2 linked regions of the Bombyx mori genome follow. The protein of the gene in region 1 binds, or shares a complex with, the protein of each later gene. Links are inferred from orthologs where the notes say so. Each region holds a gene or a part of one and is shown on either strand. Other genes may lie near its edges.

What was found.
Region 2: the proteins of rabphilin-3A (region 1) and synaptosomal-associated protein 25 are in contact, whole or in part, in a crystal structure (PDB 5LOW), measured with the Rattus norvegicus proteins. The link is inferred for Bombyx mori from reciprocal best matches to the Homo sapiens genes RPH3A and SNAP25. Residues at the interface, in NP_598202.2 of Rattus norvegicus: His617, Ser618, Ala621, Ile648, Ser649, Ala650, Lys651, Gly652, Leu655, Tyr659, Leu662, Lys663, Lys665; in NP_112253.1 of Rattus norvegicus: Glu38, Asp41, Ile44, Arg45, Leu47, Val48, Met49, Asp51, Glu52, Glu55.

What each region holds. Positions count from the first base shown.
Region 1 is NC_085122.1:7,032,229-7,036,067, forward strand, and holds part of rabphilin-3A, read left to right. Parts: intron 1-3,274; coding exon 3,275-3,626; intron 3,627-3,830; coding exon 3,831-3,839. UniProt on the Homo sapiens protein: Plays an essential role in docking and fusion steps of regulated exocytosis.
Region 2 is NC_085131.1:7,036,895-7,040,318, reverse strand, and holds the end of synaptosomal-associated protein 25, read left to right. Parts: intron 1-428; coding exon 429-726; 3' UTR 727-2,665; coding exon of another isoform or gene 2,666-2,728; 3' UTR 2,729-2,761; downstream 2,762-3,424.

The sequences.
Region 1 (3,839 bases):
TCAAAACCCAAAGTATTACTACTATTCCCAATGAAGGGAATTTTGTTGTCAAAAAATGACAGCAAAATCAAAAAATAACAGAACGTCACGTTGTGCAATTACTATTTCTACATTGTAGGCTTAAATGGTGAAAATAAAGTTCTAACTCTTCGTTGCTAACGTGGTATATTTTATCAAATTAATCTTACTTAGTAATAAGAATGAAATCTAACAACCTCATAAAATGATGCTTAATAAAATTTCTTTGAAAGACATGTGAAAACGTGAAAATTCCTTACATTCCAAATCTGACAGTCTTCTAAATTCTAAAAACCTTAAATGCAATAATATTAATTAAAAGATATAGGGAATCGAATCTTAATATAAGTGTCTTATCCTACGAATCACACAAAGATAGTGAGTGAGGCTTTGAAGCTAGATAACATTAAACTATCGTATGGCAGACCAAAATAGAATACACTATGAATAGAGTTGACACCAATACCATTGGCAAACAACAAAAATGTATTCCTAAAAACAATAGCGTGTGAGTATGCATGCGAATAAACGCCTAAGCACTTTTCCATTAACAGCTAAAATTCCCCTTAATCATAAAAAATTTAACATTGTGACAACGCAGTATGGACTGAACAAGACCAGTTTTATGTTTCGAAATGTGCTTGTAAATTTTGTTGTAGCTTCCGACGTTCGACTCTTATAGTTCTAGCCATCCACAAAGCCAAGACAATGCAGAATATCTGTGAAACAAACAAATAGTTTAAAATCGTATGCATGAGTTAAAGCTCAATAACGAAATTTTGAGGTAAACGTGTTTCTTTTTAATTTTCTAAATACAAACATATTTGGAGTGCTACAGAATGAATAGAAAGAATGCTACTTCACTACATAGTATAAAACAAAGTCGCTTTCTCTGTCCCTATATCCCTATGTATGCTTAAATCTTTAAAACTACACCACAGATTTTGATGCGGTTTTTTTAATAGATAGAGTGATTGAAGAGGAAGGTTTATATGTATAATAAGATCCATTAAATAGTGGAGAAATCAATAATAAATTACAGTTTCCGAAGCGAAGCGAGGGCGGGTCGCTAGTATTTTCATATTTAAAGCGTAAATCACAGCGGGGCGTAGCCCACTGAGTCTCTCGCCGGATTTTCTCAGTCGGTCGCGTTTCCGAACCTGTGGTAGATTCCGCGAAGCACTGCTCTTGCTAGGGCCAATGTTAGCAACACTCCCGGTTTGAGCCCCGTGAGTTCACCTACACGTCAAGGAGAAGCTGAAATAGCCTCTCAAGGCTATCAGCATAGGTAGGGAAAAAAAAAGAAAAAAAAAAGCTGGCCGTGACCCGGTTTCCCTAGTTTAACTAACTTAATGCAAATCGAGTTTTTTTTCTGACTAGTTACAAAGTAACACGGTTGGTTGTACAAAGTAGAAGTACTATGACAAAAACAGTGGCTTACAAAACAAATTTCCAAAAAAACTGAATAGATAATCGGACAAAGTATCGTGTTGTACTGTTGCAGAAATAACATCGGAGATTTTCTTTGGAATAAAACATATAACGTTTAATTTGCCTTTAAAGACAAAAATAAAACATCAATTTAAAGCTGTAATTTCACTCAAAATCAAGCTACATGTAAATTTAAGTCGTAAAGCTCCGATCTAACGAGCTATAAATTACAAGTTAGCTTCAAGAGCTGTTACCGGAGTAAGAAATGTAACAACATTATGCAGATTGATGAAAATCTCATGAATAAAAACTAACGATTTGTAAACGCCATAAAATGGACACTCAGCGTCTGTATATAAATGGAAAGTCGAGGAGATGGACCGTTGTCTGGCCTTCGCTATGTCCTCGTAGGGCTGTCACTGGTTTATAAATTTAAATTTAAAAATTTACTACCTTAACGTCCATTTTTGTTTCATAGTTAACTCAATCAAAACTAGATTCATATTAGGCAAAACATATTAAAATTTAAAACATAGACTAGACTATTGTGATTAGTAGAGTTTGTGTACAAACTTCAAAAAAATATATATCATATTTTGTGGTTTTGTGACCAAGCTGATGAACAACTACTTGTGGAGCAAAATTATATTCATTTCATAAATCTGTATGAAAAACCATAGCAAATAAAACCGGATATTTTACTGTTACAACCCTCGTACTGCGTGCGTCATACAAGATGACGGATGGAGGAAATGGGATGGGGAGGCTGCAACAGGGCGCTGCTAATTGACACATACGTTTTATTATTGACTCACCCAATTAAGGGTGATCTAATTTAGTAGACAATAACGATATAAAAATACCATTTGTTCATTTAATGGATTTATGATTAAACTAGAACAGTGTTTCTATTGATGATTATCCATAATAGACGGGTATTAAGATTTTTTTATTGCTTAATTTGGTGAAGTGGTTTTACGGTTCGCCAACTGATATCTGTTAGTTACCGGAGCCCATAGAAATGAGATTTCAATTGATGTGTATAGCCACGCCAATGCTTTAGGCTCTCCATGACTATCTAACGATAGAAATAGGCAACGTGGCGGTATAACTAGTGCGCGCTTGCAATTTGGCATCAGCGAAGTTTTCTGACCAAATATAGAGCATGTCAACATTTTTAAATGTAAGAGAATTCCTCGAACTAAAATTATAATCTCCTTTGTTGTTTAGAACATGAAAACAATCTTCGAAGACTCGTTTGATATTAAAACGTTACGAAAATTTTCACATTTTATTCTTTGTGTAGCTTTAGCTCAAACGAATAGCCTCCGGTCATATCCGAAAACTGAATAACACATGGAGAAGTTACATTTAATAAGGACTGGACTCGTACTTCCCATAACTTCGTAATGGCAGCAGGAAAACTTAGTTTGTTTAGGCCTTTAATCAAGAATGTTCAGTTTGTTCTAACACTACGAATGAGTGAAATAATTGAAAGACTAAGGAAGTCGTAGGGCTTTAATGTTTAATTATAGTTCAATTTTGTGTTTCAAAATAGCACTAGATTAAAAATTACTAATTTTTTTTTAACTTATTCTTATTGAAGTTACTTTATTTATGTTCTATTTTTTATTTGATAGTTGGTACTTCTAATGTGTGTATTGACGGATATATTTAAGTCGATATATTTTAAAATCGCAAGAGATCAGCTCTGTCACACATTCCATACCTAACTTCATTGATTTCTAACACGATCCATATGCATTAACGTGCGCATTTATACCATATATTCAAACTATATTTTTTACTATATACTCACTTACAGGACGGCCCATTTGACTGGAATGAAACTGACATTCTGACACACGGGTTCAGTGGGTTAAGCCTTCACAGGGCCGACAGTCTCAACCAAAGGCCATTGGGTTTGAAACGGACAAGCAGTAAAAGCAGTGCTTACAGCGTACGGAACGCGAGAAAGGATGCACAAAAACCGGTAACACAAATCGAAAGGGCCCCGGCCATCCCTGATGCCGGTTTTGGTACGTTAGAGATACGGCTGGCATACGAAAACGCTACATCCTCGTTAGCGGTCACGGTGCTAAGAGCCAGAGGGCTAATTGGCATGGACATGACAGGGTTGTCCGATCCGTTCTGTAGATTAGAGATTTTGCCAAAAGGTAAGAAAGAGATCTACTAAAACTATTCGGTTTTCGCAGGTCTTAAAGATAAATTAAAACCACTTTTACATATCAATCTTGCGGTCGTCCGTAACTAAGATTAATAACCGTAAAAGTTGTTTTAATTGGACAAGAAGACTATATTCATTGAATTTCACTATTTTAGGGTTGGCTGTAATGTAAAAATTAAATTCTCGTTTGCAGAAGGCACAT
Region 2 (3,424 bases), on another chromosome or scaffold:
TCACACAACTTCACTCCTCGCGTTCCCGCCAAAAAGTCATATTTAATCTATTCTCAATTTGACCACAGACTATAAGCAATAAGAAAAGTTTGGCAATAAACAAATAGTATATAACACACACGCATTGTGTGTGTTAAATACATATACAAATGGTAGTGTGTGTAATGTCTTGTTTTATTGATTTCATGAATTTTTAAGCAAATTAAAAAAAAATAACATTCTTCACCCCTTCTGTATATTCTCTATAAGAGTGGGAAGTTTCATACTCATACCGTCCGCGCAATTTTCTTAAAAAGGGATACAAAATTTTTGCTTCTCGCATTAATATATCGATTAATCTAAATTTAATCTAAAAATCAATTAATGTTGATCCGTTTTTTTTACGATAGATATTTTTTCTGTCGTTTAATATATAAGTCGTGTGATAGGATAACGAACGACGCTCGTGAAGACGAAATGGAGGAGAACATGGGTCAAGTGAACACCATGATCGGGAATCTGCGCAACATGGCCTTGGACATGGGTTCCGAGCTCGAGAACCAGAACCGACAGATCGACCGCATCAATCGCAAGGTAAGATCGAATGGTTCGTCACAACCCTACTACGTGACAGACCTGTATAGTTCGAACAAAGTAAATTCGTTGAATGTTTACGTAAAATTAGTGTTGCCAGATAGAAAATTTTTTTTACTATATTCTCATTTACTTCTATTTAAATTTAAATAAGCTGTTATTTAATTCCTGAAAAGAAATAAAATTAAAAAAGAGTAGTTAAGCACTCCTTTGCACGTATGTACAGACGTATTTTAAAATGTTTTTTTGTCTATATTATCATAAAGAATAAATGAAAATAACATTTAAATAGATTCTAAAGTTCTCTTAAACTTAACTTTTTCATGTTTTTAATATTAAGATACAACAAAAATAGTCTGGTTTTTTTTATTAAACTAATTATCTACAGTAATTATTATATTTAATATTTACATCAGAGAAATAAATAAAATGGCAACACTACCAACGAATTTACTGATCAAATCGAAATATATTTCAAATCTTCGTCTTGTACATTATCTGGTGTGGTTTTCAAATTTTAATCTGCTAATGAGAAGAAACGAATTGATTTTCCTCGATGAATTCTGTCGCTTCTCATAGCACTCATTGATCACCATTTCAATGTGTATGCATTTGCCTGTCACTATAGTAACGAAGTTGCTTAGATAGAGTTTGTCCATTATACGAAAAATGTAGCGCTTAGTGGCCCTCGAAATTGTTTGATCACCCGCTTACTGGCAGGTATTGGGTAGAAAAAAAAATAGAGTCGAAATCCGATTGGTTAATAACTGAAAACATGACGTAGCTAGGATTTATTTTTAAAAGTCGTTATAACCTATAAAGATTTAGGTCGTAATTCTGGTTAAATTCTACTTAGTGTTGCTATTGTAAAAGTCTCGAACAAGAAATGCATGTCATTGGTCATCTGGAGATAAAAGAATTGTTCTTGTTGTTGTTATTTAGAGATTAACTTACTTTGGTCGAATAAGAGTTTGAGGCAGTTAAAATATAATATCTCCTCAACGGCCCTGTCAATTTATGATAAGATAAAATAACATGTTTCCTCGGTAGCCAAGTAAGCCTATGAAGCGGATAAAATCTCTTGTTACCTCCGGCGCTTAGATTAATCTGTGATACGAATAGAATAACCAAATTCCCCCGTCGCCAAGTGAGACACCCAAAAAGAGTTATTATTTCCTCATTAGCCAATTACGAGGAGATATAAAATATACATTTCCACGACAGCTAAGTCAACCAAGTATATTATTATGCAAAAAAAAGAAGTAAATATGAAGTTTTAAACAATTTTACTTGGTGACTGAATCGATGGTGCTCCTGATTGCTGGGTCGAAGAACGTGGGTTCGATTTCCACATTGGCCATACATTCATTGTAACACTGAGACCTTAGAACCCATGTCTCAGGGTGGGTGGCGGCATTTACGCTGTAGATGTCTATGGGCTCCGATAACCACTTAACACCAGGTGGGCTGTGAGCTCGTCCAACAGTACGCAAAAATAATAATTAAAAGGTCTTTTTGCTATTTATATCAGTCTCTTGTTTGAGGCTGGATGACCGCCTGTCACTTGTTCCCGGTTATTATCATTATTATTAACTATGTATGAAGTTTTAAATCTGTTTATAAACCTTAAATAGTCGACCTATAAAAAATTAGTGTTCAAATGTGATATAGTTGCATACTCTTATCGCCTATTCTTCTATCTTAAGCATGCTCTATTAGATTTAGAAATAAGAATGATACGATTTTTTTTTTTTTCGTAATTTAGTAATGTACTCTCGTCTCACGATGTCATGACTCCCAATGAATACATTACATAACCACATACCGGAATTAGTTCCGACATCATTCGAATAACATGTCCGACTCCCGCAGAATTAGAGGTCATCAGTAACACGCATTCATACTAACTAACATGTTATATACTCTGTCTGTCAAGAAACAGCGACTGACATGCCAATGGAAATGGCAAGCGCGGATAAGTCGTTATAGCCGGTCCGACGCCGCTTTTATTATTATAAACATGAGCAGTCGCTGTGTATTGAGCTTGTACTATATATATATATAAAAAAAATACGGGTCTTGTGTATCATAGGGAGAGTCAAATGAAACGAGGATAACTCTGGCGAACCAGCGCGCTCACGAGCTCCTCAAGTAAACGACGGCGGCACTCAAACACACAACAGACAAACACACAGTCTCGTGGATTGTTTATAAATACGCGTAAATCAAACAACAAAAAAATAATAATCCTAAAAGCGCCTAATCTATAGTCCGTATTTGAATTTGTTCACGAATAATAATAGAGAATTTTCAAATGGTACGTATAAAATATGATGGTACAGTTTTGGCATTATTAGTTTCTAGTAAACATTGGTTTGAATTAAGATGCTATATTTGATTGCATCTTGATAACCAAATAAATGACAAGTATATTTTTAGTGGTTTGTAAAAAGCATATAGATGTTCAAAAAGCCTCGTCCTTGCGCTATTGTATGTGAGTCGACTATTATCAAAGGCGGCAATCTGACTTTTGGACAATGATTGGTAAATCAGAAAAACGAATTATTGACTTTGTATTCCATTGGCAGTCACAAAACTCTTCGGAACGACATCTTAGATAAATAACAGGTTAACTATTAACCTTTATTTAATGCAGGTTTTGAACCGTATTCTTTGAAGGAGACGATTATATTCAAATAAATCTGTATTGACATATCAATAAAAAAATTTTGTCCAAATGTACAGATTGCCGCCTTTGATAATAGACGACTCATGTAAAGTATTATTAGATGAACTAGCTGTTCTATCTGTGCTAAACAAATTCTTACTTACGAACGTATGCTTGTTTAAC